Linked DNA regions of Styela clava. The protein of the gene in region 1 binds, or shares a complex with, the protein of each later gene. Links are inferred from orthologs where the notes say so. Each region holds a gene or a part of one and is shown in the gene's direction. Other genes may lie near its edges.

Region 1 (16,459 bases):
CAAATATAAGTAGGGTTTTTGACTATCGTTATCGGACTAGGTTTTCAGGATCTTATGTCTTCTCCATATAGTCTTCAGTTAATGTTGCCAAATATCCACTATTTTCACCTGTTCAGAGCTTTGCTCTTTTTGTACCTCGCTTTTCGCTGAGCAAATCTCAAAATTCCCTGAAATACAAAGGCGTAATAATTTGGAATAACATTCCCCAAAGTTTACGTGACTCCACATATGCTACTTTCAAAATAAAATATAAAAAATTCATGCTTTCATCCTACCTGTCTTTCTCCAGCACATCTGTTTGACGTGCTTACTGACTTTCCCTCGGCACTGCCAGCAGAATACTTGACTAGGTCCACAACCTCCCAGAGTCGACAGTACCTGTAATAAGTGAATCTGAATGTTTCATGTAAATTTTAAGTTGCTTCTTTATTATCATCTACTTCCATAGTGCATGCTCTGCACTATATTATACTGTATGGCCATTTGTCATACAATGGTAATTCAATTTTGCTCATAGCCTAATCGTATAGTGTTAGCAGTATCTTTCAACAGTTCTACACTCATGATCCTTGATATTGGTCTCTCACCAAATACAATTTAATAACTATCTCGTATATATTTTTGTAAAAAGCTATCATATTTACCACTTTATTATTATTGTGCTTTGTTGCATTTTCGAAATTTGTATATATATAGCACTGTTGATACTCAGTGCTGCAGTGGGTATTTCATCCATCTGTTCATACACATATTGTGTTCATTCTATATTCTCAACGATTCCAAGCGGTATGCTTACTAATTTACAACGCTATTTATTGTTACCCCCATCTACTTTGTTGAGTTAAACTGTTTTTCACAGATTAGAATAATTTTTATCTTTAATGTATTAATGACGATTCGACTTACCCCAGCACTTGCAATCTTCTTGCACCCCAGCACTTGCAATCTTCTTGCACCCCAGCACTTGCAATCTTCATGCAATCTTATTCGAACTCTTGGCAAACATTTATAACTATGATTACGCCGTGTTATCGGCATAATATCCCTACCGGGATATATTTAAAATCTGTTAAATAACTATCAATTCCATAACGCTGCGATATCGGTTCGGTATCCTGTCATCGCACTGTACTGCATTCCTGCTGCCGTTCCCATAGTTACTCGCACATATGTGCTTGGAGTCGTTTTTGGTTTTTGCTTTTCTGTGTCTCGAGCGTCTCTTGGATTCAGGTCGTCTCGATTTTTCACTTCTTTATATTCTTTTATTTATTGTTTGACTTTTTTCATTGTTTTATGATTCATTTATTAGACTTTAGCTCAGGTGTCGCCGCTCGATAACCAATTTTGGTTTTCGCGACTCCTTTCACCTCGAATTATCCGTTTTTGCTTTCTTTTACATTCCGTATGCATTTAGTGTATTTCATGTGTGGTGAAAAAATAAACTACTGATTACTGACTGATTGCTACGGTGAAGTCGTGAAGCTCCTTATCAGGAGATGAATTCGTTCTTATACAATTCAACTTAATAATTTTATATACAACAAAAAAACTTCTTATTCAAAGCCTTTTTGAATGAGATGTATGAAATACCCCATAAAAAGTGGGGCTACATTACATATCACCAAATCTTCATCAAATAGCCACGATAAAAAGAAAATCTTAAATTACAGACCAGGTTGTTGCATTGTGCCCAATGCGCTGCTCCTAATTCGATCACGCATTGTGCCCAATGCGCTGCTCCTAATGCGGCATCACTGTGCCCAACGCGCTGCTCCTAATGCGGTCACGCATTGTGCCCAATGCGCTGCTTCTAATGCGGCCTCACTGTGCCCAATGCGCTGCTCCTAATGCGGTCACGCATTGTGCCCAATGCGCTGTTCCTAATGCGGCCTCACTGTGCCCAATGCGCTGCTCCTAATGCAGCCTCACTGTGCCCAATGCGCTGCTTCTAATGTGGCCTCACTGTGCGTAATGCGCTGCTCCTAATGCGTCATTAATTTTTGCAGCTAAACTTATTGTCATCGGGAGGCATGATCACAATTAAGTTATTCGATTTACAAATATTTTTAGTAACACAACTGCAAACTGGTAAATGACACGCAAAAGCACGAATGCGAGGCAATTTTTACAACTATACTTGAATATCTGTCTGAAGAAAAGAAGTGTCTGAGCAGACGCATAAATTTCCATTGTTACTATTTTGTTGATTGATCATTGTTACGGAAATAAAGAAAATCGGTGTTTATAAAACGTCAATGGTAAAATGGATGGGTAAATTGTCAATCCTGACTGTGCGTAATACACTACTCCTGATGCGGCCCCACTGTGCCCAATGCGCTGCTCCTAATGCGACCACGCATTGTGCCCAATGCGCTGCTCCTAATGCGGCCTCACTGTGCCCAATGCGCTGCTCCTAATGCGGCATCACTGTGCGTAATGCGCTGCTCCTAATGCGCTGCTCGCAACGAGACTTTTAGGCTACCACTACTAATGCTGTTGCTCGTCCGGTTACCAGTCCATGACGGGTGTGGGTTCAGTTATTTGTTCTCGGAAGCATGGACTTGATGGTGGAGGAAGCCGTAACCGACCAGCGGTTACGTGAACCACCCTACGGCGGCGAGGAGTCCAGCAATCCTCTCGCACATTATCATTCCCGCTTGGGATTCGAACCTGCAAACCCACGAAGGGTAATCAGAGATGCGGTGGCGAGCGTATTCCAACGCTTAGCACGATGTACCGGTACTATAGAAACTGCCAGAAGCACAGTATGACGCGATTTCGTCGAGATATGACCGATTGGAAATTTCATACGCGGTTACAACTTACGGTACCGGTACCGTACAAGGCATAGGAAGTTACCTGCTTTTACGGTACCGGTAGTCTAGTTATTTGTTTTGGGAAGCATGGACTTGATGATGGAGGATAGCCGATCAGCGGTTACGGTACATGAACCACCCTGCGGCCTGACGGTGGCGAGGAGTCCAGCAATCCTCTTGCACATAACTATCCCCACCTGACTATGTCATCCAAAAATTACGGTACGTCACTACGACATCACAATCACGTCATAGAACTTGCCAAGTATGGCTACTATCGTCCGAAATGGCATCCGCGCCGACGATACCAAACTCACTAATGCCAGCGGTCTCTCTCATATCGGGATCGTTGCGAAGAGAAAATTAGCTTGCTCGATTTCGGTGATTGTCTGCGTGTTTTGGACGACCATCTGTACTCTTTGAAGGTATTTATTACAGTATTACGCCACTGTGGCGTCGTAGTGACGTGACATAGTCAGGTGGGGATTAGGAATGAAGTATGAAAAAGTTATTGAGCCAGGCCAACTAGAAGTGCAGTGGTACAGTGGTACTAAACTCTGAAACTATACCAGACTCCAAAAACTGAAAAATGTCTGTGCCACGACTACTAGAAGTAATCGCGGCATTTAGTTAACATGCACCCTGATACTCTGATATGAAATCCAAGGGATTTTTATCACAAAACTGGAGAGAGCAATATAATTGTATAAAGTTTATTATCGTCAGTATCTCACATAACTGCAAAAATAGCTGAAACATAAGACTACGGATGTACTGCAGAAAGTCAACTACAAACAGACAAAGCTTATATTCGTAAAGTATAAGAGTGGAACAATAACACGGCAACAGCATTGTAAGCCATCACTGTTACCACAGTACTATGTCATTTAAATGCTGATGTCAGGATGTTGAAAAAAATTTTGTGCAATTAACTTAAAAAAACAAACTAAGAAACAGCAGAAAGACAGATTCACTTAATGCAATAGTAATCATCATTAAATTCAAACCAATTCCAAATAAACAATGTTGCGCGTCATATAAGGAATCTGTTACGATTTCAAAAAAATATGTAAAGCAGAAACATATAAAAATCCCTCTGACAGCTGTAGCAACAACTTCAAATGATCCTCGAAATCTACTTTGTAATGTAATATAATGACCTATTTGCACACTCTCTTGTTTTGTTGATTTTTATTAAATTTAGTAACTTCATATTTGGAGATATTTTTTGCCTGTTTTGTCTTCCAATCTAGTTGTCATTTGAGGTCAATTTTTTTTTTTTTTTTACAGACAAAAGTAGCAGCCCTGCTGAAATCATAGCTCCAGCAACTGGATAATCTTGCATCTCCACTTCTCGTGTCAAATAACTGGATAAATATGACGATGCCGAGTTTTGAAGTTGGAATTCTGATTTTTTTGTTATGCAATGCACTAGGTATGCACGGATAATGATATGATATATGACTTATTTCATTGTATTTCAGTTTTTAGTACCTTCAGTCTACCTGTATAGGGATACCTTGGCAGTACCATTTGCGGTAGTTACCTGTCTGCCATTGCTGAGTATCTCTTCCAACGGGTTAGCGCAACCGACTGAAATGGCTTGTCTAAGAGCCAGAAATTCTTAATCTTAACATTAGCAAATCTTCTCAATTTTCAAATAAAATCTTAATGCAAAAGTACTTTTATTCAAAAAACATGTTTAAAATATCTGAATGGAACAGAAATATTGAATTAGGTAAAAAGTTTTGAAATGTAAATATAATGAAATAAAGAGGGCAAGATCCATTCTCATAGACATATTATTTTAATTACGGTAGCATCACGTACCTCAAAAAATTGTCTTCATCTCTCACCTTTTGAGAACCTCTGATTTAAATGCATGGTCTTGATAGTGCTGGAAGCCGTAATTGCTGAATTGACCCGTCGTTACAGGGTTACAAGTAGGGATATCGCAATTCGGCATACTGAATCCGTTCGATTCGAATCCAAAAGGAGTTTATATTGTGCATGTTTATTTTACTGTGTGTTTTAAATGGTTTTGGTAGATGGCGGCATTGCTGGATTGAAAGTGTATATTTTGTCAGAAATCGCATATCCCGAAATCACATGTTTTTTAAAGTTCATCTTAGTGAAAAAATGACTTTTTGTTAGTTTTTAATTCCTATTCAATTCTTGCAGTTACAGCAAATACACTTCCGAAGACTGGGGTTGATGATAAAGTATACGAAATGGAGACTGAATATGGCAGATGCATTGCTGGTATCGTGAAACCGTTGGATGAAGTTGTAAGGCATATATTTTTTATTCCCATAATCTGCTATTTTATTCATATTAAAAATCCTTGTACACTACTGCAATACTAGTCTGTTCTCTATGGTCACTCACAAGTACCATATGCTGATATAGCTAAATTTAATATCAGTTGAAATTATAGAAAATCCTATTCAGAATTGTTATGTTTTAACAGGTTTATTGCGTCAATAGTCATGGAAAACAAGGAATTTACATGATCAATAGCACCAATGAAATGGAATGCCTTCTGTGTTGCCGCGGATGGTTCCACGAGTATAGATACTGGCATAAAATGGGGTGTACTTCTTGTTCGTCATCAGGAATAACCGAGGAGCCAAACATTGATTCAGGTTGCCAACCAGTACGAAAAGCTCCCCAGTAAGTTCGACTAAATGATTGTTATCGAATAAATTTTTTATTGCTGTGAACTAAAACGGGACCGAGAGATAAAATTTTCTATTTCGATATTAAACTCTGTGCCATCCAATAAACAACTACCGACTCCAGATTGAAAAAAAAGAAACTTTATTAACAAAAGCTTGTGCTGTGTTAACTCAATAGTCAATACTATGTGCTGTTTGCCTGTTTCTTTCCGAATTTTTGACTTGGATTATCATCATGAAAAATCCAAACAATGTCAATTTCAGGATTTACCAATTTTCATTTCATAGGAATGTTGCTGAAGGTGGCGGCTCACAACCTCCTGCTATATTGAATCCACCAGGAGATGAACCTGATGACATAAAGACCCCTGCAACACAAGACAACATGACTGCCCCAGTGACAACAGCACAGCCAATTATTGGTAAGTATTGTTATGATTAGCTAATTCTTGAATGTCACCAATTTGGTTCTACTCAAGTAATAAACAGCACATACTTATAAAAAATATAACCAATTATCTTATTAAAATAAACATGGATCTTGGAGAGAAAAGTAGATTTATCCCTCTTTAAAAAAATCTTACAGAATAAGAATGACCCAGGGCAGGCTATGTCATCTTATCATGACTGCATATAACTTTTAATTGTGCCTGGCTTCCATGATTTGAATAACAAATGGAACAATTTTTCATTAAATTTAAGAATAGCGATGTATATATGGACTTAATTTCTGAGTGGAGTGGCCTCTCATTTGTACAGACTTTCTGATTACTTAATCCCGACATTTTAAAATGCAAATTACCAAAATGTGTGATCACTGATATGAATAGATACCATATATTGTTTCTGTTTTCTCGTTGATATATTTCAATGTTTATTCACTGTTCATTCATATAATTGTCGAGCTCCATATAAGTTGTTGATATTATTTCCTATGACATTATTATATTCTTGTATTACTTCCTGAATTTGTGAATAAATCTTGCAGGCAGTTCACTTGGCTAGGGGGTAACTTTCATATTCACCCGCCTTGGTAAGAGGGTGAAAGGATGTACACTACTGTATGATCAATGCTGTATGTGTTGCTATTCAGTTACAAATATATTTCGGTGCTCCCGAAGTATGCGAACCAAGATGGCGGACATCGGAACGTAACATGGGTAACAGGTTAGGGTTAGGCGATAATTTTTATCCAATTTTTCTTATTTTAGTCCTATTATCAGTTCGAAGACTAGCCAAGAGCCTCTCGTAGTATTTATACCTAAAATTATGGCCTAACCCTAACCTAGTACACATATTACATTCCGATGTCCGCCATCTTGGTTCGCATACTTCGGGAGCCCCTATATTTCATTATGGCAATATGAAAAAACTCGGTCAGCCACCGACATCTATACATTACACACTTGTTATTGTACTCATCGTATTCGTTTCAGAAAATCTGACACCACCGTATGCTATCGAAAATCTGATCTGTGAAAATTTATATTCTAAATTTCCTTCCCGGAAATCATCTGTCCTTGTGACATGGAACGGTTCTGAAAATGCTGAGCATTATGAGGTATATAACATATAATAGTGGTACGAGTGTCTTGTCGACCTAGATTTTTTCTGCATTGCTTATTCACACATTACGCTCCGAGCAAAGCCACACAGAAGTAATCACCGATATCTTCTAACGTTTTCCAGCTGGGTAGGAATTCTATTGGGTTGGAATTTTCATTTGTGTTCGTTGTAGTATTACTAATATTCTATATTTTTGTTCAAAAACGGGCGACTTTCGCATAACATTAGCTAAGGATACAATAATAAAGTTTAAGAAATGAGTCTATATGCGTACTGAGGAAGGAATAAAGTTACTAAAACGAAGAAGGAAGGAATTCAACGAAAAAGTTTGGGAAATACTGCTCTAAGGCTTTAACTGCTAGGCCATTGCACACATAAATATTATTATATTATAATATCTGTATGAAATTCATTTAATTTTCAAACTTTCAGGTGATATTAACATCTAAGGGCAGCTCGCAATTTTATGAAGTTAAACCACCTGCTTTGGACGTTAAAGATTTAGAACCAGATACCAAGTATAAAATTGTAGTGATAGCTGCAAACAAGTCGGGTAAGAATCTATATATATATATTTTCTGTATACACTGATGCATTTATTTTTAATATGAAATTGTAAGTAGAACTCTGTCATTAAATTCATTAATAAGGAAATTTTTATTAAAGGGAAGAGCACATCAACTTCGATTGATCACCATACTTGGAAGTTGCCTCCACGGTACCCTCTCACAAATGTTCATTTCACAGTTACTGGATCGATTATACATGGATCTTGGAATATTCCTGAAGGCAGAGCTGAAGAGGAACCATTGTTAGGTTATAAGGTATTTTCTGCTTTTTTATGTGAAGTTTATTTTTTCATTTCAAATCTACTAATTCTCTTATCTTGAGTAATAATGTTACACAGGTGCTACTGAAAGATTTGGATTCAAAAAAGAAGCTATCATTCCTATTTGAGGAGAGTGAATGCACTATCCAAGTTGAGGAAAACAGAACATTCTATGCGACTGTTCTTCCTTATAACAGGGCTGGTAACGGACTACCATACGCATCCTCGTATGTTCAAACTTATGCCAACTCAGGTATGTTATTCTAATGCAAATTTGTGTTTATAATATATTTGTATCTTAAGAATGCTGTCTTTTAGAAAGCTACATTTTACTCTACTCAGTTCTTAGCATATTAGGTTTGGTCGGGAGTTACTGCTCTTATTTAATCAAGACTAAGAGATACTTCAAATTACATGATTTGTTTCAATGAGTTGAGATTACTGATATTTTGTATTTTCAGGATCTGCCACTAGCAAACTTTTCTCACTGGGAGCACCTATATATTGTTATATCCTCGCCAGGATTGTGAACTTTTTACTATGCAACTAGATGAATTTTTTTGATCAAATATTTTATAGTTTTTGATAAGCTTTGAATAGTGCCAGATGATCAAAAGTATGTGGTAGTGAAATATAAATCCGTTTCACCCTTCGTTTCCAAATCGATTTGATTTTTTACTTAGTGGTAAAAAGAGCATATAAGAATATTTTAAGTATTTTTCAATTTTGTCAAATTCCTATATGTTATAACGTCCTTCAATGGCCTTTTGCTGTACAATTATGTTTTGCACTTTTCTTCAGTTTAAATTTGGAATTTAATTTCTTTATGATCTTCAATGTGATTTGTAATTTTTCGAATTTAATTTGTTTGTGAGTGGGATTTATTGATTAAGCTTCCCTGAACCATTGTGCCTTATGATACTGGAAGCCACTTGAAAGCATTATTTGTGTTGTGGCTATTTTGTTGGTGTACCTGTCTCTAATGTTGTATTTGTGACAATCACACTTACAAATCTGTGAATTCTTCATTTTTCTCTTCGCCATTTTTTTTTCACCACACTTATACTTTTGGGAGTTATTTGAGATCTGCTGGTTTTAGTACTGCGTGTTTTTCAACTTGCACAGAAGCATTTTGATTTTTAGATACAATCGTTGCTTATGTTACCTGTACTTGTAATTGTTTATATATCATGTATGCTTTTAGGGGCTATTTTTTCCAATGTGCAACATAGGTCGTTCTGTGATGATTTTTGCAATATATATATATTTCTAGAAAATCAATAAGATTTTTTTAGTGCCATAGCCCGTATTCAATGTTCCTGTGTCATTGTGTATTTAGTTGAAATGCAACAATTTTACATGCCATATCATAACTGATTCATTGTGTTTGTTCTTCATACTTTTTCTTAGGCAATTTGTTTATTATAATTTCACATGGCATCGATAGCAAAAAAACTGAATGCGAGATTTGAAAACATTGCCAGGGTAATTGCTTGTTTTCTTATGATTTATATTTTCTGTTTATTTTATTGTATTTTCAGAATAGGATGTTAGTTTCCCTTGCCACACTAACAGTATTTATCTTTTACCGATGGTGTTGATATTGCTGTTCATGATATTGAATAACATTGCACAATTTGAATGCTGTGTATGATTGTTTCTAAGTTTCTGTTCCTGCCTGATGCGCTTACTACTAACACATTGCTTCCAGTAACTTTACATATCTTGTATCTTATGTATTTTAACATGTTTTATTGATAAAACCTTCTCATTCATTTGTAATAATAAATCCGAAGGTATAATCTTACAAATGCCTCATTACTAGTAACAGCTTACCATTTAACACTTGTAATATGGGATGATGAGTAAGTTTGAGTTTAGAAGAAGACTACAAATGGCATGCCGATTTTGTGCACGGGAAGTAATGTTTCAAGAATAAATTGTAAGAAAATTTTAAGAGCTTTTTCGATTTCCTGATACCACAAAATTACCCGACAATACAAATAAAACAAACTAAAAAGTATACTGGAAGAAGAAAAAGTGGCGAGCCACACCACCGCAGTCTCGGTATGCGTCAAAATTGATTGGCTGTCTCCCCGTACCCATCAAACAGTTTTTTGAATATATTGAAAAAAATGTTATCACTATGATTTTCATAATCGTAGAAAAATCTTGCGCGAAGTGAAGGAAAAAATGTTTATGGGGTCAAGGGTCGCGTAAACATACATTACTGTCGGGTCTCATTTTTTTGTTTGTTTTATTCAAATATTATAAGAAATATTGGTTGCAATAAAATGTATGAGTTACAATAAAAAAAAAAAAATTAATAAAAAATGTTTAAACGTAATTCAGAATTTCTGATCTGTCGCAAATAATTCGGCATTCTATCGCTAACGCAACTTGGGTGAAAGGTTGTGTAACCGCTATAATTACGTCTGTATGCGCTCAATTATTATCTTAATATTGCTTGTATCTGTCGATTGTGGAGTTCGTTGAAGATTATGGTGAGAACATGCAGACGGATGATGCGAGATATTTGAAACGGTAAGTCAGAATAAGTGAGCTTTTAAAGGTAGGATGGTATTTAAATATGTATCTCAGTATCTCGCCCAGTTACCAGACCATGGGCGCTTCCGGTCAGCGGGTACGGTATGGGATTGTAGATATGTAGTCAGGAATTCATGATTTTGCATGAATGGATGTAAGCTGTTGTCTGGAGGTGGAACATTTACTGGTAAAATTACTAATTTAACGTAGAGTTTATTCTGCCCTGCTGGCTCTGAGCAAGAACTGGAAATGAAAGTTTGTTTTTATATTTAAAACAGAAAAGTGCATTCTGCAGCTCAGACATTTGCAAATCCAAAAAAATGGTTATTGAATGAATATTTAAATCATGAGCGCACATCTTAAATGAAGACATGTGCCAAAGTTTTTAAAATCATGTTTAACCTACTCAACCATTTGCTATTATTAGTTCAGAATTCCATATACTTAAATACAGAAATACACAAATTATTTTCACCAAATCAAGAAATCATTGGCATGCCATGTTCGAGTTTATGACATTAGGCACGTTTTTCCTGTGTTGTGAACTTCTGATTTAAATCATATACAGTGCATAAAGCCTGCTGTTTGGTGTAGAATAATTGTATCTGGTCAATTTTCATACTGATAATTCAAGTACGATTCAACGCCAATGTGCCAACCTAGCGGTGGCACTGACACTCACCCTGTTTCTGTATTCGGGATGGGACTCAGTGATTATTTTGATCGTTCATTCCGATGATTCTTTCAGCGATTATTACGGAATCTCATTATCCATAAGGCGATTTGACCCTAGAAAAGTTACGAATTACAGAAAACGCTTTTGTCATGCTCATCATTAAAATGTACTGTCCCCTGAGAAATTTACATATTTTTACACTCTAAAGTGCCTTTTGTGAATTGGGTATTTATTTTACAGCAAGGTCAAAGGAGGGGCAATTGACGTTCACCCAACTGAACAAGCACTTGTTGTGAATTATGAAGTGGAAGCAACAATATTAGGAGAACTTGGTGATCCTATGCTCGGTGAAAGAAAGCAATTTCAAAAAATGTATTTAATTTTCATTATTAAAGAATTTTATTTTCTATATTTTTTCATAGTTTTCCAAACACTTTGACAGGCCTAAATTCTACCTTTATATATGCAGAACTCGGGCATTACCAGGATCCAAAAAAAATATGTTCAATATTAACATACCATATTTATTATACTAAGAATAAACAATCATTTACGACAATATAATGCTTATAGTATATCTGGAATTTGAATGCATGTTTATATGCCTGTGTTTTTTTTTTTAAAGCTGAGAATTAGTTAAATCAGTAAGTGAAAAACATACGGTTCGAATCCCATATTCACCACCAGGGTGTAATATATTGAGTAGAAAATATTAAACCGGAAAGTAGCTCCTTAGATATCATATAAAGGAACGTGACAATAAAGGACCGGTAATTCAATTGTCTTTACATACTGATATAATTACCATTCTTGTTGTTAGTTTAGCATTAGATAAGTTTTTAGCATCAATTGCAGCAGTTAAGCCCTGTTTTTATACGAGAACCATATAGCAACCTTATAAGGCATGATTTATCAATAGTTTACGGAGATAGCTAATTAGCTCTGTCTAGATCTGTCACAAATACAATATGTATTGTTCTGTATTTGTATGAGTATATCAGTGAAATGTGACTAGGAAAATTAACAGACGGAAATTTATTTGCCAATTTTTACTGCAAAACAGTTTAATATGTTTTCTTGTGCGTAGAAACTGCTTTTTGGTCTTTCAAATGAATCAAAAATTATCTTTTTGCAGTTACTACAATTTGTTTTAAAGTGAAGTTTGTTGATTCAGTTTTTTGGAAAGTTAGCATTACCAAGTTGGATCGTGTTTCTAAGTAGTTCAGAAGAGTTTTAAAATCATGTAAGCATTCTATCATTATAAGTAAAACAGCTCTTAGTGTGTCATTATTGTATTACAGACACAGTGTTGTCAAGTAATGTAGAATAAGAAGATGATTACTGAGAAACTGTCAACAATTTTCTGCTCATTGTTAGCTATCGATTCCAATTAGAATTATCAGAAAAATAAAATAGTTATCATTTTGAAAGAAACAGAATAGCATATTTTGATATTTTCATCCTAGCTTTTTTCAGTAATTTCAGTTCAGATTGGTATGGTTAGCTCATAAATAGCATCTTGATCGAGTACTAGTTGAGTGTATACCTATCTATTCCAGGGACTCGTCATTTGCTTCCACGTATATTGAAGTTCATCCAGTTTTAGATGCTTTAATTGTTCACTACAGTTTTGATTGTTTGTTAGGAGAAGATGAAGAATTGGAATTGGAACATTATTTAACTAAGCAGGGAACAAAGCTGTGAGATTGTTATATTAGCTAGTTAGTAAAGTCCAGTTACTGGGTGGAGGTTCAAAGGTCAAATGTTTTGATATTTTTAAAACAAGTAGGAAGTAATAGCTGAAGATTAGGAACTAAATTATTTTTCCACTAGATTTCAAATAATTCTGCTCTTAATACAAATTACTTCTAACCATAGCTGTAAAAACCAGTAAAATATGATTCTAGAGTAAGAGTGATGCCTGTCATATTTTGACTGAACAATATTGCTACAATCGTTATAATAGTATAATATTAAAGAGGATGCCTGAATTTAAACCACTACTCAATAATTCTATAAAGAAGGTCATGATATCCGTATTTTAAAAAATTTACTAGCTGTAGGAGATTAGCTCTCACGTATGAATGATTGAAAGGGTCGACCCTTAATCAACCTAATTTTCTTGTAGAATTCGATTGCGGAGTTTGAACTCTACAACTGACATAGCAGCTTTAGCTGAAGAAGTAATTGAAAAATGTAAATTAATTCATGTATCAAAGCTTCCAGAAGTGGAACAATTGCTTTACTACCTGCAGAAAAGACCCGGCAAAGGTATTTTGAACTTATATATTTATATATGCGTATTATTATACCTCTTGGGCAAAAAAGTTAACTTGGACAAACGCCCAACTTTATGATTGAATTGTTTTATTGGATTTTCTCAACTCAAGATAATTTAAAAAGTCCTATTTTATGCAGGATTTACATCATCATGCCTTTCAAGAATATGAATTTTTTTTATTCAACTTTATTAATTTTTTTGCGTACAATGCCAATAACTTTGTTGAAACTTCATTTATTTAGAAAAAACATCAGGTGACTTGCGACCAACTGGACAAGATGTTGAAGTGGAAGATTGCATGTTTGGTATTGAAGATGGTGAACAAGCCAGCATAAACGATATCGATAATTATGTTGAGCTTCTTTATGAAGATATTCCAGAAAAAATTCGATCGTCCTCTCTGCTACTACAATTGACACGTAACCCAGACAACCTTGAAGAACTGCTTCAGAATGGTAAGGCTCACATTATTATGGTTTTTATATTATTCAATTCTTGCATCCATGAATATCTTCTCATTTCAAGAGTGTTTAGAATATACCTACTCTAAGAATAATCTCTCTCTAAGGCAAACAATCACTTGATTATGGTGGCATATTCGTACTTATAATACTGGATTATTTCTGATTTTTGTTGATGGCCAAGCTTGAAGAAATTCGTATTTCTATTATATATTTATTCCAGGGTATAGAAAAAAAGGTAATGCTGCCCATTTTTTTGGCAAACCATGACTACTCGTCTGGTTTCAAGTCCAAATTGGGAGAAAATATCTAACCAGTTTTTCAGTTCAGATACATAAATTTGGGCAATTCACAAAGTCTCCAGTTTTGTGGACTACCCAATTTGGCTACATGATGTATCAACTTTAATATCATGATATATGTTATAATCAGACTGCATTCTATAGGAAAATGTTGTTTGTGTGGTTGCAATGTTGTGTGCAAATTTAATTACTTGTTCTTTAATTTATTTCCCTGGATATTCAGTAACAATCCGCGTCAGTTTCTTAGACATGCAATCTTTGAGTGTATTGTCTTTAATCTTTTTTGCTACGTGTTCTGCTTATAATGCTTGGCGATGTTTTTTCAAGTTAACTAATTGTTCTCTTTATTTATAGAAACAGTTCTTGGTGCACTTGCTCGTGTTCTCAGAGAAGATTGGAAAAAGAGTGTCGAACTTTCAACAAATATTATATATATTTATTTTTGTTTTTCAACTTTTTCACAATTTCATGGAGTTATTATACATTTCAAGGTTCGTCATTTCATATGTTATTTAATTAAATTCCACCTTCCATATGATTAAATCTTTTACTTATTTTTGCTTTCAAATTGTCGTTTTAGATTGGAGCACTGTGCATGTCCATATTAGAATATGAATTATCTCGACATAAAATGTGGAACGAAGAATTGGACAAAAAGAAACAACAAAATATCCTTAATCAATAAATTTGAACATAAAATATATGCAATAAAAATATCATTGGAAAATGTTTTATACCGGTACTTCAGATTATTCTAAATGGTTCTTTTTTTTTGTGAAATATTATATTGTGAGTCGTGTTGCTTTACTTAACCGCTAATAAGAGTTTTTCTTGACTGCTAATTCTACTAGCGAATCTTCCAAAATCAAATCCTGCTGTAAAAGAGTTTGAAAAAACAGCGAAGAAATGTGAAGCTATTCTTAAAAAACAAGATCAACTTTTAAGAGGTATATGAGTTAAAATTCCTTGTTTTATCATTATGCCTGACATGATGTTTGGATGATTTGACTGAACAATAAATTAATAAATATATTGGCTGATATCTATAATGATTGGTTTCTTGAGTATCTGAACTCTAGAATCAACTTTACACAAGCAGGAAACGTAGACTTAGGGTGATACTGAAATTAAATTTGATGATTTTTGTTGTGCCGTAATTTCTTGGTTGTGTAATATTCTGATATGAATATGTTGTTGTTGTTTAGGCCTATTAAATTTGTGCTACAATACTGGGTATGGATTGACCACGTTGCTAACCAAGACCAATCTTTTTGTGGGACGAGGGCTAATGGTCAAAGCTTTAATTGTGTTAGCATTGCAGATTATAGAATTCAGAATTCAGGGGAGGGGGGGCAAGGTTTTTGGACCAGGGACCAAAAATTTTGCCCTTCTAAATCGGCGGGCCATGTAAGTGTGACGTAAAAAGTTAATTTTTATGAACAATATTTACAGTGGTACAAAAGCAAAAGTGAAAAACAATAAGCCAAAACTAAATTAAATCGCAATTTCAACAAATTCCTTGAGCTATTTTTTAGCTAAAACATCAAAATTTGGTTTTAGTTAGGTTGTAGCAGCATCAGGCAGACCAGATTGAAGTACCCAACGGGCCGGATTTGGCCCGTGGGTTGTAGTGTGGCCATGTCAGTTATAGATCTATTGTTGAAATCTCATAGGTCCACTTTGTATACAGTGATATCAAATATCCTACAATTCAATCATTATTTGAAAGATATTAGAATTGTATTCAGCCCTAAGCCTATTTGTTTAATTTCTATTTCTCAGTTGGATTCTACCTCCTGTTGAATCTGTCAGAAGATGCTTCTGTTGAAGTCAAAATGAAGAAACGTGGAATTGTTGGCATACTTGTGAGAGCATTGGAAACAAGGGATAACCCAGAATTGCTAGTTCTTGTTGTTTCCTTCTTAAAAAAATTGTCGATATTTTTGGAAAACAAAAATGAGATGGTGAGACTCAAATAGTCTTGTTTTTTATACAAATACCTAAACAAATAGCTACACATCACCACAATAGTGGTATTTGTTACAAAATAATTATATAATGTGATCGAAATTGTATGTCTAATACGAGATAAAATTATTTTTTTTCTAAAATTTTGAGATATTTTGTCCTGACTCTTTCATTTCTAAGAATTTTCCGCGTTTGACTGCAGTTACTTACGGTTTCTTCAAAGGTCTTTAGTTCCTTTAGTACAACTAATTTGAACTGTATATAAATATCTTTAGTGAGTCCTTATTTTGAAACAGTGAAAAATTGTACATTCAAGTTATACTGATTTTGAATAA
Region 2 (16,415 bases), on another chromosome or scaffold:
GCCCTCTAACGCTTTTATTGCTATCTAAATGTAATACATTTTTCAAACTTGAAGAAGGTGGCATTTTTGAAAGAAAATGGGAGTTGCAATATTTCTGCATTTCTCAATATTCTATAGCTCATTGTTCGATATTTCACATTTCCATCAGTACAATCAAAGGATACAATATAAGTAGACATTATCAGAAAAAGCTCAGCAGTCAATATGACAAATTTAAAGATCAACTTCGAGCAGAAAATTTTTATGTGTTCGTATATTATTATAATTATACAACTACCTAGTTACTAAAAATTAATATGAATCATAACTCAAGCGGTTCTATGTGATGTAATTGTAGGAAATGTGGAGGGAGATGCCTTGTCCGAAAATTCAGTCATTTGTTTGTTTACTAATCTATACATGAAATGATAAACATAATATTTTTGCATTACGGAAGTTATTCAAACATTCTTAACAAAATTCACAGATTAACCGATGATCATGTGACCTCGTTAATTAGAGTTGGAACTGTAAATCAGCCTGATATTAGTGAGCTGGTGGCACAAAAGAGATGCCAAACGTCAGGACATATGTGATGAAAAAAACATTGAGTATATTCTGTAGTATTTTTGTAAATTTTAGGTCTATATATTTATATTTAATCTTTTTTACTGTATGTATTATTCTTTCCTTATCAAAACTTTGTTCAAAAATGTTTTGGAAAGTTGTACATAAAAATTTATGATTTTTTGTAATAAATACAGTAAATTGCGAATTGAAATAATAGTGAAATGCAAAAATTAATATGTAAATGGCATCTGAAGTTTAAGAAAATTATAAATCTTCATTCGGCTGTTTAATTGCATCACAATATATGTCACAAACTACACCTATCTAAAAATATGCTTTAAGTACACATTATCAAAATATATCGAAAAAATTGTTTGCGGCCCTTTGCGCAATTCCCAAAATGCAATGTGGCCCTCGAAAACCCAGTTTGACACCCCTGATATAGACAGACTACTAAACTAATGTCAGGTATTTTTACAATTTTGACTCACCTGTGTGTCAATTTATGCTGCTTTAAATTACTAGATTTTGTGCAGGAATAAGGACAAATATTGCAAAATTGTACTTGAGAAGTGACATCAGAAGTATGGCTTTTCAAAAGATGATTTTTGACATCCAAACGAGTGTTAAGATCTCTTTTACAAATCTGAATATGTAATGAATATGAATCTGAATATGTAGAAAACAAAATTTGAACCAACAATGACATATGTCCTTGGGCAAAACTCGGAAGGGGGTGTCGCAAAAATTTTAGACATTTGAATCATATATTTAAAATAGACTTGTAAATGTCAATGTTTTTGCAAAAAATTTGTTATCATGACGTAAGTAGCAGCAGTCAAAGTCACTTTGTGAACTAAAATTGTAATGGTGCATTGTATAAGTGGCCTCTGCCCCTGCCTTGCAGCCCTATCTCATTTATAAACACTAAAATTACACTACCCGGTAAAACAGAACCCATGAATCTCTTGATTACTTCAAGCAAATAAAGAAACTTCATTTATTACTTCTGTTTGTGTATAATTGTACTCAAATTTTATTCTCAAAATTTTCAGTAATTTAGGATGGAAATTTATGTTCTGTCTAGATCTATAATATGTTCCAAATTCTTTTTTTTTTAGGTTACCCAACTCATCAGTGTTGTAAGTACCACTCAGAATAAAAAAAAAACATACTGGACATTTATGTCTTGCATTCTTCAAATCATGAGTTAACAAATGTTTATTAAAACTGTCACGAAAATTTGTTCTGTATGAGCAGTGAGGACAAGGAAAACGCATTTGGTCCTGATCAACATGTTTCGCCAATCGATGTCGTCTTAGAGTAGCAGAGTTCTTTGTTTGATAATCACAGTGCTTGCATTGGAAGACCTTATTTGAAAAATAGAAAGGAGTTGGATTTGAAGTTGGAAGTAAGTAAAACATGATGCCATTGCCACAACCACTTACTTTCATATGATGCATTGAAATATGAAGGTCCCACTCATTCTGATCTGAGGTAACAAATTGACATTCTTTACATACCAGATCACCAGGCTTACTGTGTTTTGTTACCATGTGCTGAAAATCGGATATTGTAATTTGTAAATTTCTGAATATGATGACAATAGAGGCAAAGAGCTGCTATTCTAGGGCAAATGAGTTGCTCAATCTAATATTAGACACTTAAATAAGAGGCATCATGCCTAAGTTGATAAAATTTCGACTCCAGCAGCGAATTTTTTAATAACAAAAACTTCATCATATATGGAATCCACCTTTATTGGAAATTTTAAATTCATCAGAGCCAAAATTTCATACTTTCAATGATGATAAAATAAGTCAAAATTTCCTACAAAAACTAAAAAAGCATTAATTTTACCTAGGGTTTTTATCAACAGTCTAGTAAAGAAGACTTGCATTCGCCAAAGTTTTCATTATCAAAATTAGATTTTTTCGGAGTTCAGTGCTGACCTTGAGACACAAAGTTGAGAGTCAGAGTGAATTGTAAAGTTTCTCAGACTCAACAGCACTGTCTATTGTAAAATATTGGAGAATAAAAAATATAATCACATTCCTTCTTCAACAATTAGATGCTTTGACAAAATTATACATTTTAAATCATCAAAATTCTACTTCAAGTAAAATGTAGCTACCTGTTTAAAATGCCTGGGTTCTCTAGCTGTGAAGTCACATCCACTTATTTTACATTTCAATGGTCTTTCCCCAGTATGCATCAAATAGTGCTTTTCAAGATGATGACGTAATCTTAAAATTGTATTATGATTTGTTCTGATAGTTATATGAATAAAGCAAATAATATTTTTTGTGCATTCATAAGCGCCTTTATACGTCTTTTTGATGTTATTAAAAATAAATGAACTGGTACAACAAGGTATAAGTTCTGGAATATTGCGAAACTTACATATTCGTAGTCATTTTCAAATTTTTTCTTTCCAAATTTCTTGAAAAATTAAGTTCAAATAAGACATGGAAGATATCCAAAAATATAATTTTGCGATACCAATTATCAAAATAATGTATTTTAACGACACTTTTCTCGAGAATTTCTGGCTCAAGAATTTAATTTGGAATGCTAAAAATTAGTATGATTTCAAATCCCAATACCAGACTGCATATGGACTGGATCTTATCTCAACGTTTATTCTATTGTTTACCTTCTGGCAAATTTTAGGGTAAGGTAAAGAGAGGAATTACTTGAGTACCTAGTTCCATAACTTCATTAAAATGTAACAAATCGAATGCATCAGCAGCTAGAATATAATACAATTATTACATACTTAGCAACATAGTTACATCGGTCACATATAAAACATTTCTTTCCCAAATGATTCTGTGTCATATGTGCATGTAGATGGTGCTGAGTTGAAAATATTTGTGTAGGCTTGCAGTACTTGCAAATGTACCCACTCTCGTGCCTTGAATGCATATGCTTTTGAAGATCAACCTAAAGAAAAATGAACTAGAGTTTGCCAGTAAATAATACCACCTGCTTTTGGGAAAGTATCAACCCAGTGTTTCCCAACCAGACTTTATAATCATCCATGAAAAATAAAAATACCCAGTAAATCTAAGTGTCTTCTTAACTGGACTTTTGTTATGAGAGACATGACTGATAAAATATCAAGTATCAATAAATAACAGATCCTAGCTACTAACCTCATTGTTACAAGTAAAATTGCATCGATAGCATGTATATATCGTAGGGTGACTTTGCGATTTGTGTTGATAAAGGTTATATTTAGAAGAAGCTTCATAACCACATGTGTCACATAAATGTTTTCCTCCTAGATGTTGAAATCTCCTGATAACATAATAAATAGGATACTTTGAAATATGTGAAACATCAAATGTAACAAAACTGTACAAAGGAAATTCAAGCTTATAGACATAGCTGCAGCAAAGTAATATAAACTTGGTAGATGAATCAGATATTGAACAGCAGCAACCCTGCTTTGCCATAAGATATTATTATTAGTTATAAATAATTGTACAAGACAAGGTCACAACAACCTATTCAGAATTGAATAATTGACTTCTATAAATATCAACTATACATTACCAGTGACTATTCAAAGCAACTTGGCTTGCAAATGACATTGTACATTCTGCACAACTGTTGGTTTTTTGAACATCGTGTATCTGAATATCAAAGTCACAATTTAATTTAATAATCTGTAAAAATTGATGTATTAAATTTGCACTAATGTATGCCTATGGTTTGAAATAACAAATCAAAATGAGAAAAAACAATGGGCCAACAACAGAGCCTTGAAACAAACACTTTGAAAACAGCCTTGACTAATAATAGGGCAAGCCATTATGTATTATACACAAGCTTAACCCAAGTTAAAATAAAGTACCAGTATATATAATGCAAAGCTCATGTACCACCCAAAATTTTTCTGTTGACCCGTAAGGGCCCCCGATTAGACCCACGGGTTTAGAGTTAACACACTGTCATTTAAATTAACATACCATACCTTCATATGATTTTTGATTTCTATCCATTGGGAATTCGTGTAATCACACTTTATACATTTGAATGCATTGTTTTCATAATGTGATTCTTGATGTATTTTCATTTCTTCTTCATCTTTGAGTCTTCAAAAAAAAGGAAAAATAACTGTTTGTGTCGGATAAATTTTGTCTAAAAATTGAATTACCCTTCACACCGATTAAACTACAAACCACCTCAGAAGAACAAACCTTTGTGAACTAACCAATGATTACCATGCAGTAATTTATTGTACAAGAATCACAATCAAATTGTTGTTGTATATTTTATTTTATATATACGGGTATATGTATATTTTAGTAGAGAAAAGCCAATGAAATGCTTTGAGCACATGGAGAACCACGGCCTATCGTCCGCCTAACAGTTAATGTGGGCACAGTTTCAGATGCATTGACTTGCTGGCTGAGGAGCCTGTAACTGACCAGCAATTATGTGAACCATGATGGCGGGGAGCCAGTTATTCTTTTGCACATAATTATTTCCTACAAGAATCAAAGCCCAGACAGTAATCAGAGATGTGAGTTCCTAATGTTTGGCATGATGCGCCAGCTGATAAGAGTGCAAGTCTGACCACAATTACATTAAAAATTGATTTTAATACAATTCGATTTTGTCCCACTTTTATACAGGAGTCAACCTAATCAAATTTAGTACATTAACTGGATAAATTGAACATTGCCATGAAAAATGGCGCGCGAATCCAATTGAGATTACCGGCAACTGAGAACTAACCGATTATTACACAAAGTGCATAGTAATGCTTTATATCTTCCTCCATGTTTCTTCGTGTCTTCTTTATTGCTACTTTTATTTTCCCTCCTAATAATCTCATCAGTAAATATTTCATTTACCGATTCCAAACATGATGCTGCATTCATTTCAATAACACCTGTCGCTAAAGAGAAAAAAAACTTGATTGAATCATTATACAAAAAGCCTACCTAGCCTTAGATATATAGTATAGATCAAAAACAGTTTATAGACATAGTTGTGAGAAAGAATATCTGAATAACCCATTGTAGGTCATGTGTCACCTTGGCAATGGTTGAGTCTTCTTACAATGTTTTTTATTTGAAAATTAGTCAAGTCGAGTTTGCATGTTTTTTGAGTTTTAAAATATGTGGATGTACTTTGCCATTTCGCGATACAATGCAAAAAAAAAAACATTTTCTATTTGGTTGGCACATAACAGATTTCAGTGGTGTTTATAAGCTGGAGCTGTGTCACAGGCTGTAACAAGCAGCCCACAAAATATATTGGAATATGCCCACAAAACAAGAGCCAAAGGTTTAAATTTTATGGGAGATATTTATCACCATTCTTTGTTATTGTAGGGTGAGAGACATAAATGCTTCTTTAACCAATTAGGTCCATACCAGGGGCCGGCAACCAGCTTGCCTAATGTTAAACAAGTTCATGGATGCCATCTTGTGCCATATTTGGGAAACGCGAAACAATGGAGTCCTATGGAAAATTTTCGTCGTGTGGTTGTATCGAATCGAATAAATCAGCAGCCATAAGGGCTAGAATGAAGCCGAAGGGTGGGTTTTGAACTTTAAGCTATATGCTACCTAAATATAATGATATTGAGAATAAAAAACTATCTACCGGTAATGCGTTAAATTTGACCACAAACACAACGTAAAACCATCTTTGGTCATTTTTTTGAAGATTTTATATGGAAACGCCAATTTGACGCTGTAAAATGTCTCCGCAACAATCCTACAATGTCATTTGTTCTTCTAGTACAGCTTGGAGCTGAGCAGTAGGGCATTATGGAGCTTGACAAACGAAAAATATTAACCAGAAAATAGAAACGACCATTGAAGCAAAGTTGAGTCGGCCGGTAATTTCGATGAATAAATACAGCTTTTCATCTGTGACGTCATAGGGAATGGTTTGGTTGGTTAATTATGACGATTAACAATTGGTTTATTATGACGATTAGAATGGTTAACTTACTTCAGAAGCAACTCGGAACCGGTATACTTGTCTTCAAGGACAATTTAATGTACTATAAATGTAATTTGGCAAACATGGAAGAATATCAACGTGTTAGGCTAAGATTCTCCTTAATAACGCGACCTTCAAAATTTTTCTGCCTAAAATATTAGTGAAAATAATAGGTATGTTTCAATGATTGTGTGCGAACTTCTCATAAGGCAAGGCAGAACAATAGGCACAAGATGGCGTCCATTGTCGGAGCGTTGCCTCGCTTGTATTATATATACGCTTTAGTCAATACATTAGAAAAATTGACCTGCTCAGCAACATGCGGTGTTGAAGAGACATGAGTCATTAAGTGTGTTTCCATGGACAATATTACTAGGACGGACTAGGACGCAGTAGGACGCGCATTCCTTATATGGTCAACGATGTGACGTCATGGCGCGTCCTAGTACGTCCTACTTCTTCACCGGGTTTTCGTCCTACTGAGTCCTAGTATTCAAGACGCTTATACGTTATTTTCCGTTCTAGCGACTTTCGATGTTTCTCGCAGATGACATTTTTGCGGCTTTTCTTCGTGGGGGATCCACATGGGTTTAAACTTGTCAGTTGTAAGTAATGGCATTGCAAGATGCGGTACCGTACCTCAACCTTCAAACTCACGATGGCAGATGAAGAATTACCGGTAGTGTAAACGGTACGGTAGCAGACTAAACATTCAACGGTACCGGTACCGTATCTCTCGATAACTTTTTATGTAGACTAATGCTTACTTCTCAAGCCTGTATTCTTTTTATTTTGTATCACATATGCCGTATGGACAACCTATTGGACCATTAACTTATTTAATTAGGATTGTTATTTCACAGGATCATTCCTTCCTTTACTTAATGTAACGCAATTGATATCAATTCAAATTTATCATAGATGAGAAATCAGGCTGCCAATTTTGATGACGTAGATCTGATATTGATTGAAAGAGTCATGAAATCACTTAGATTAAGACTATCATTGAATTTGAGGTCACTGACATCACTAGAGCAAATATATACTGCAGTACGGTACTGATACGAGTTGTTGTACGTACACACTAAATTTATGCTCAATATATGGCTAATATATTACCCACGGTGCCATTATAATTTAAAAACTTACTGTAGTTTGTTTTGTACATGCCTATATATAGAATAAAAGAATTACCGGTACTCCATCCATATTTTTCTCGGAATTCTTTCAGCTCCCCACTGAGTTAACGCCAGCAACGTCCTAGACCGCCTTATTCTTCTGGTGTGCAACCATAAGACCAGCGCCTGCACCGCGAAAAAAAACGCTAATAAAGTCTTCGCCCTGTCCATATTCAAATTAATACTATGATAATGATACCGAAGAGAGAAACCTAAAGACAAACTCGGGTAACAGTAACAGCTTTATACGAATTGGGGAAATCCCAACAACAAAATATTTACAGCGGAGATCACTCAGGCTGAAAGAAGATGACACAAATCAACCCATCCAAGCGTGTAGTTTTACCCACAATGCAACTCATTTCCGAGATCACGATTACATGGAAACAGGTCGCGATTTCGTGTCCTAGTCCGTCCTAGTAATCCCGCCCGACTGCGTCCTAGTCCGTCCTAGTAAACTTGCCCATGGAAACACACTTATTAACTCAACTTCTCAAAGTGACTCGAGTCATCTAAATGAGGTGATTCAAACACATACTCAAATACTCCATTGAGGAATAGCTCAGAGATTGACTAGACTTCGATGACCCACGGTTCGTGACTTGGAATTTAGGGATTTCCTCCCAACACTACATAATCAGACAATCTCAAATAACGGGTTTGCCACAAGACTACATCAACTCGTATCTAGCGGTACTTACAATTTTCCGTTGCAAAGTTGGCCTCTTCAATAATTATGTTAATTTGATTTTTTCCTGTTGTTTCCACGTTCTCTGTATTAGACGCTTCATGACCATGATCCTGGACAAGGATAGGATTTGTATCAGTAATTAAAATTATAATCTATCTTCATGTGCAAACTATACAATAGTATGGTATACAAACATATTGTGATTTTATTTTGCAATAGAAAATACCAGAAAACAAAAGTAAATAAACAGATTGTAAGCTAATTTGTTTGTTCAAATTCATTGTCAGCAATCAGCATGTTATCAAAATAGAATGAGATTTTCATACAGGAATATTGTGATACAATGGCTTAATCATATGGCGAATCACAGTCTCTTGTCTGATTACGGGTCCAGGTCGAGAATAGAAATAGTCAACCAGTTACTTGTTCAGATTCATGGACTTGGTGGTGGAGAAAGCAAAATACAATTCACAATTCAAACTTCCGACATCTAAATTAGAACCTTAGGTGTCGGCGGTGCTTGATAACCAAGAGAGATGGGATTCGAACTACCCACATTCCAGCATCGGGTCTGGTATAGTTTCTGAGTTTAGTACCACATGTACTACCTGGCTCAACAATTTTTGCATATGTCAATCCTAACCCCCACCTGACTACGTCATCGAAAAATTACGTCATTTCGACGTCACAGTGGCGTAATAAGGCCCACCGAAGTATGCGGATGGTCGTCCAAAACGCATAGACGATCACCCGAAATCAATCAAGCAATTTCTCTCGTTTTCTCGTCACATTGATCACTATAGGAGAGAGATCGCCGGCTTTAGCAAGTTCGTTATCAGCGGCACAGATGTCATTTCGGGCGATCGTAATTATACTCTGGCAATCCCTATAACGTGTGGTGACGTCGTAGTGACGTAATTTTTGGATGGCATAATCAGGTGGGGGTTAGGAATAGCATATGCAAAAATTGTTGAGCCAGGTCAACTAGAAGTCCTTGTGGTACCAAACTATACTGGACCCCCAGCATCAAATAATATTAGTTTTGGTTAGTCATATCAGGGATCTACTAGGTCAAATACTGAATGTTCAGAAACATACCGGTACACAAAAATACATGAAATAAGATTTACCAAAACTTCATTTCTATGTGTCTCTGCAACATGCGTGCGTAGTTTTTCGATTGATTCATTTTCAAAAAGGCACAAATTACATTTGTAAATTACACTTATCATGGAATCCAAATTAGCCATCACTGCTTTGCGTGAAACGAAGACAGGTCTGGCTACTGTCCAGTACAGTAGTTTCATTATGAGGGGAATACCCAACACAAAAACAAAACAAAAAATTATGTACGCAGAAAAGGACGTTTACCAATTTTATTACCTTGTCTTTCCGAGAAAAAATTTTGACGAGTAAAGTGAGCTAAGTTTTTAAATATATTTTACAGAATTTCTGAATGTTCAAAGATTTTAGTATATTTATCTGATGATCGTAAACACCGATATTAAGAAGCGAATAGCTCATAAATTATTTACATGTACCAGTTAAGGTCAAGGATGATGCGTTATATTTTTTCCTCTATCAGAATCGAAGATGAAAAAATTAATATTTCTTAATTATTGCATATTGCATAGATAGTCCACGTTAAAACTGAAAAAAAGTTAGATTGATTACCATATCAACAGCGCCCCCTAAGTCAACATTGCTAATAAATAATTCGTATCCCGTAGCGACCATTAGAAATTGAAGGATTGTTGGCTTCTCGTCGAACCCTTTAGTACAGTGGCAGGTTGATGTGAATTCTATTCTGGACTGTCTTTTATATCTATAATCGAACCGTTGGATTTGGACTTATGCAAGGTCGGGTTAAAATCTTGTTGATTAGTTCATTAATTTTTATTTCTGTAACAGAGTACCGGTAATGAATGTAGAAATCTTGAAATAGTCTAAATCTTTTATTTGCTAAACTAAGTTCTGAAGAATGAAAGTTATCGTACCGGTAGTCTGGTAGTTGAATATTAGAAAATTTTTATTATACTGGAATGAATGACGTAATTTATTAGAAATAGTTATAAGCATTCCAACTCCGAAATTCATAAATTGTGTGAAAACAACTAATGATATTTCTGTCTTGATCTCATTAGTTGTAACTTCATAAATTATACAGTAATACTTTTATACAGTTAATTCTTTCGAATACAAATACAAAAAATTTCTTCAAATGATGCGAACATTTGTATTCTGAATATTTATATTTTGTTCTTATTTGTAAAGTGAGTGACTGCGATCATCGAATTTTGATTATACATTTTTAATTAATATAACTTAAGTCATTTTTAAAGTAATTTTATAAGCTAAACAGAGGTTTAATAATTGAGCAGTCTCTAATTATTATAGTAAAGTAGACTGCAAAGCCCAGTATTTGGTGCAAAATTGGCCGATTGTTTTTTGCTAACAACTCTTGACCAATACGCTAGGATTTTTTTTCCCTCTGTGAATCAATTCTTATTTACTGAGTAATTTAATGATGACATTTTCAGTTTGCTCTTCTTTTTAGTTTATCGCACAGCTCCAGTTTGCGACAGTTCCAGAAAGTACAAAAGTAGGGGATTATATTAATCGCTATACATGATGTCTTATAAATAATCAAGAATATTTGTTAATACTGTATATTCTGGAATATACGCCCATCGCGCGAATAAGTCGACTCCCTAAAAACGGCCTCAAAACGACGAGATTTTATGAAAATTTGCATATAAGCCGTTTCTACAAATCTCGTAACACGCTGCACGCATCTATGTTCAAATTTATCATTCAAATATCGCTTATGCTACCTTCTTGTATTGTTTTTAGTGTTTATATTAATATGAAATATGGCACACAGATTCTAGCACCGCTGACCACGTTTTGATTAAAACAATTTTCGATTATTATATTTTCTGTTTTATCATAATGGAAGACAGCACTTTGCAGAACAACTATGGTAAATTACTGCAGACATGAAAGGAATTGAATCAGTGCCGACTTGAAGTACGTATAACATGAGGAAGTTTTTGATTGAAAATATTTTACAATCATTAATTTATATTAACGTTGTCGAGATATCCTGTGCGATTAGGGCAATAAATTTGGTTTATTTTCACAAGTCTTCTCAAACATGATTTTTGTAAGCTTCATATATGGGCTGATATATTATGCCAAAGTGTCTGCCAATTATTCAATTGACCAATTATCAATTGATCAGCTGTTATTTGTCTTAATTCTTTTAAAAACAAAAACGTAGCCGGTGGGTGCAATGAAGCACTTCCTGCCTGATATCGGCACTTGGCACTTCAGAAAGAAAACGGCTACCACGAGATAAAGTGATTGATATATGACCCTTCCGTTTTGCTAATTCAAAAAAAAAAACGGAAAACACAGCTGTTGCCTAACCCATGGATGTACAGCGCAGTATTTATCACACCATATTTATATGTTATTTCAACCTTTCAGTTAAATGGTTGTTCAAAATGATTAAAATTATAGCTTTATTGTTGACAATTAATGCTGTAGTATTATTCTATCTGAAGCAAACATTCTAACCATATAAAATTATGAACGCAAATTAGTTCGAAAATATACCGGTAGTAATAGGTTCCTAAATAATATTTAGTATATATCGCGGATGTTATTTGTTAGCCAGACGGCCATTAATGATAATATCCTTCAGTTTGAGTTTGCCGTATTAATTTATGAAATCTCAATTAGTTCAAGCTCGATCAGAGTTTTGCGCTTATAAGCCAGTCCCTTAGTTAAGTTTTAAACTCGGCTTATATTCGAGTGGTTTTACTGATCACCGAAAACTTTGCAAATAAATATCATATTCATTGCTTTTATTTTAGATTCATACTTAAGAAAGTATATCAAAATATATTTAAAATGCCATCAGCGAAATCAGGTGATAGTGCTGACAATGTCAAAGTTGTTGTTCGATGTCGACCTCTAAATGAAAAAGAGAAATCATCTCAATTCGATACTGCTGTTACAGTAGATGAAGTTCGAGGTCAAATTGCAGTGAAAAAACAAGTATCTGATGTTGAACCACCAAAGACGTTCACTTTTGATACAGTATTTGGTCCAGATAGCAAACAAGTTGATGTGTATAATCTTACTGCAAGACCGATAGTGGATTCTGTTCTCCAAGGTTATAATGGAACTATCTTTGCATATGGGCAGACGGGAACTGGAAAGACTTTCACAATGGAAGGTGTTCGGTCTGTGCCAGAATTGAGAGGTATTATTCCGAACTCATTTGCACAGATATTTGGTCATATTGCAAAAGCAGAGGGCGAGAGTAGATTTTTGGTGCGTGTCTCTTATCTTGAGATTTACAATGAGGAAGTGAGGGATTTGTTGGGGAAAGACCAACATGCACGTCACGAAGTGAAAGAACGTCCTGATATTGGAGTTTATGTTAAAGATTTATCAATGTTTGTGGTTAATAATGCTGATGATATGGATCGAGTAATGACACTTGGGAACAAAAATCGCTCCGTTGGTGCTACTAATATGAATGAACACTCTTCACGATCTCATGCTATTTTCAGTATTATTGCAGAATGTAGTGAAAAAGGTCCAGATGGTCAACAGCATGTTCGAGTCGGTAAGTTACATCTTGTCGATCTTGCAGGATCTGAACGACAAGCGAAAACTGGCTCAACAGGCCAACGACTCAAAGAAGCGACAAAGATTAATTTGTCTTTATCAACTCTTGGGAATGTAATATCTGCTCTTGTTGATGGCAAAAGTACTCATATACCGTACAGAAACTCTAAATTAACTCGTCTATTGCAAGATTCTCTCGGTGGGAATTCAAAAACTATGATGTGTGCCAATATTGGTCCTGCGAGTTATAATTATGATGAAACAATATCTACTTTGCGATACGCAAACCGAGCAAAAAATATCAAGAACCGAGCCATTATCAATGAAGATCCTAAGGATGCATTGTTGCGGCAATTTCAAAAAGAAATCGAGGATTTACGAAAAAAATTACAAGATGGAGGAGGCGAGGAAGGAAGTGAGAGTGAATCAGAGGAGGAGATTGGTCCTGACGGGAGCGTGAGGAGAAAGAAAGGACGAAAAAGGAGAAATTCATCAGGGAAAATGGCGGCAATGCAACAGAAGATCGAAGAAGAAAGAAAACGTTTGGAGGAACAAAAGGAATTAGCTGAAGAAGAAAGGAATGAAGTAAAAGCGGATCTTGAAAAACGAGAGGAAGAATACAAAAAAGCAAAGTTGGAGCATGACCAAATGATGGAACGATTACATGCTATTGAGAGGAAAGTTATTGTTGGTGGCGTTGATTTGTTACAAAAGGCAGAAGAGCAGGAAAAACTCCTAGAAGAATCAAACCTTGAATTACAAGAAAGAAGGGATCAACAAGAGGAACTGCGGAAACAAATTGAAGAAAAAGAAGCTGAGCGTATAAACATTGAAGAAAAATATAATTCTCTTCAAGAAGAAATACAGGGCAAAACACGAAAGCTTAAGAAAATATGGACAATGTTAATGTCAACAAAATCCGAACTTGAAGATATTCAGCAAGAACATCAAAGAGAAATGGAAGCTTTGTTGGATGGAGTGCGAGAACTTTCACAAGATGTTCAATTACAAACTTTAATATGTGATGCTTTTATTCCACCGGAATATTTTGAATTAATTACTGAACAAGCACATTGGAACGAAGATATAGGAGAATGGCAAATGAAATGTATAGCATACACAGGTAATAATATGAGAAAACAGTCTCCAATTCCAGAAAAAAATGTAGCTGATGATTCTGATCTTGATCTATCTCACGTATATCTTGCGTACAGTGAGCAAAGCTTAAGAGAAGCATATCGACAAAAATCAGCAAAAACAAAATCAGGTCGTCCAAAAACTGGACGCAAGAAAAAACACACAACGCAAGCTGACATAGATGCTGTATTACAGTAAATATCATATTTATTTGCTCTGTCACTGCCTAATTTTAGATAATTATGTATTTATACTGATATGTTATCAGTATTATGAAATGCATGTGAAATTGTATGCTGCATGATGTGATTGCTTTGTCCGAATTTCAAGTCTTTAATAAACCCTGAGTCACAATTCATTCAAGTCCAATGTTGAGGTAATCAATGAGTTTACCCTCACTGGCAGTTAATTGAGTACAAGTCATTTCCATTCAATGACACGACTCACTTCGAGTCGTAACTCAAGTTCAACTCAAGTTGAGTCAATGACTCCAATCACCTCAACACTGGTTCTTGTTTCTAAATCAATCTATGAAAAATAAAAAACCCAGTTATTACATTTCCCTTTTTATATTATTCATAATACTTTCTTTAAATTGTTTGTCTGTGCCATGGAGGATCCTATAACAAATTTCACTCGCAAAAGTCACTCCTGCTGAGTGTTATATTGTGATTTTGAATGATATATCGATGTACTCTATTTTATTGAATTTTTTGTTATACTCGGCATATTGAAAATCCAGGTACCATACATACCCCTAATACAGGGTGTACTAGAATAACAGTGATTAGTAATTAATTAATTGATTTAAGAAATATTACCGTATTTTATGAACCATGATGAACACTTTGGTTCCTTTTTTTCTCAAAAATTGATCGTGCGTCTTATTAGCAGGTGCACCTCATGTATGGATCAGGTAGTGCTTTGTGCTTTTTTACTCAAAACCAGTACCAATATTGCTTTAAAATTCCTTATGTATGAATATACTGTAACCCCAATCTTAGCAATTTAATGTCAGAAAGTCTTATAATACAGTGCACCGTATCTTGCATGAAATACGATAACCTATTTTTGGGCCTCTGTGTATATCCCATAGGTTGAAATACATTTTTCACGAATAAAATAACTTTTCATAGATCAAAATTTGATAGTGAGTGAAATTTTTGCACAAACTATTTTTATTGAACTGAGTTTTATTGCACAAGTTTTCTTTCTTTAAATCAAATTATCTGTTCACACTTAATATTTTTATATTGTCCATTTGTAAAAATGTTGCGGCTCATCTTTTCTACTGAATATAAAATATAGTAAAATTATACAAGGAATAGAAGATTCCCTTTTTCGATAAAGTTCTCCATTTGCCTATTTTGGATCTCTTTATTCCTCCTCGTAATGCACTAAAACTCTGTTATTTTTCGTTAATTTCTCATTTTTAAAAGATCCTTAGCTAGTGCCATTTCACACTCTGGATTTTGCAGTTAGTAGGCCTATAGTTTATAATATATTTATAAACACATTTTTCAAACACACTAAATAACTAAACAATATTTGTGAAACTACCAAATATGAAGTGATATTCACTCCCTGATAACTTCGAAATTTCTCCCCGGTGGGAAACATTGGCTCATGTTATCGGCCATTATATTAATTCTCAGAAATGCACATTGGTTTACACATACAATCTTTCACATTATTAAGATGTTGTACGACTCAATTAGCAACTCATTATGGCCCAGCCAATACTTTATGTTATAAATATTATATTCAATTCTTACCACTACATCTAATAATTGTAACAGTTTATTGTTGTATTGTATCTGTATTTTGTAGTATTAGAATAGTACAACTATACCAAGTTAAAGATGGGAGCAGCAATTGCGAGAGCTGCGCAGTGGACATCTGTGTTTGAGAATGGAACCGGAAAACTAGAATTTTCGCCATTGAATGAAAAACTTCTCAATGATATTATCCAGGTATGTTTCGTTCAAGCCCATTGTTGTTATTTTTTTTATATGACGCTTTCGCTCTGAACAAGGCCCTGTAGAAGCAGCCACTGATTTTCAATCTGTGTTTATTTAGATCTTTTTATGTCACTCAATAATCCTTTATATGCCGTAAATTAGTTGCACGAAGCACATCAAAGTTTTTTATGGGGTTTAATACAGGACTTTATAAACACCCTGTATATTTAGAATCTTATTAAAAAATTTTTTTGTTTGTATTACCACAGTATGTGGAGAACTTTG

What was found.
Region 2: the proteins of kinesin-associated protein 3-like (region 1) and kinesin-like protein KIF3A are in contact, whole or in part, in a crystal structure (PDB 9IKB), measured with the Caenorhabditis elegans proteins. The link is inferred for Styela clava from reciprocal best matches to the Caenorhabditis elegans genes kap-1 and klp-20. Residues at the interface, in NP_001367739.1 of Caenorhabditis elegans: Ile269, Glu272, Leu273, Val276, Arg277, Leu309, Ser310, Ile311, Phe312, Asp313, Glu314, Asn315, Lys316, Asn349, Phe350, Phe352, Asp353, Lys657, Ala660, Gly661, Arg663, Phe664, Lys665, His667, Asn668, Gln670, Trp671, Met674, Val675, Asp679; in NP_497178.1 of Caenorhabditis elegans: Tyr557, Ile558, Pro559, Val560, His562, Leu565, Ile566, Tyr569, Lys582, Ile584, Ala585, Tyr586, Gln607, Met611, Tyr612, Tyr613, Ser614, Tyr615, Arg616, Leu619, Ala621, Ser622, Thr623, Ala624.

The regions. Positions count from the first base shown.
Region 1 is NC_135254.1:13,148,779-13,165,237, reverse strand, and holds the start of kinesin-associated protein 3-like, read left to right. Parts: upstream 1-10,252; 5' UTR 10,253-10,401; coding exon 10,402-10,433; intron 10,434-10,516; exon of another isoform or gene 10,517-10,623; intron 10,624-11,351; exon of another isoform or gene 11,352-11,352; coding exon 11,353-11,484; intron 11,485-12,247; exon of another isoform or gene 12,248-12,353; coding exon of another isoform or gene 12,354-12,355; intron 12,356-12,671; coding exon of another isoform or gene 12,672-12,812; intron 12,813-13,240; coding exon 13,241-13,383; intron 13,384-13,635; coding exon 13,636-13,848; intron 13,849-14,510; coding exon 14,511-14,647; intron 14,648-14,736; coding exon 14,737-14,824; intron 14,825-15,004; coding exon 15,005-15,103; intron 15,104-15,938; coding exon 15,939-16,120; intron 16,121-16,459. Other genes in the region: uncharacterized protein LOC120344989, read left to right, coding at 4,194-4,251, 4,998-5,104, 5,287-5,489, 5,783-5,916, 6,931-7,055, 7,493-7,613, 7,727-7,884, 7,968-8,142 and 1 more.
Region 2 is NC_135250.1:21,204,792-21,221,206, forward strand, and holds kinesin-like protein KIF3A, read left to right. Parts: upstream 1-10,230; 5' UTR 10,231-10,248; intron 10,249-11,207; exon of another isoform or gene 11,208-11,418; intron 11,419-12,269; 5' UTR 12,270-12,306; coding exon 12,307-14,367; 3' UTR 14,368-15,999; downstream 16,000-16,415. Other genes in the region: uncharacterized protein LOC120343993, read right to left, coding at 1,041-1,195, 1,725-1,919, 1,998-2,108, 2,684-2,795, 3,329-3,495, 3,708-3,852, 4,111-4,190, 4,532-4,652 and 3 more; outer dynein arm-docking complex subunit 2-like, read left to right, coding at 16,032-16,142, 16,400-16,415. UniProt on the Caenorhabditis elegans protein: Component of the kinesin II motor complex (composed of kap-1 and the heterodimeric motor proteins klp-11 and klp-20) which is required for intraflagellar transport (IFT).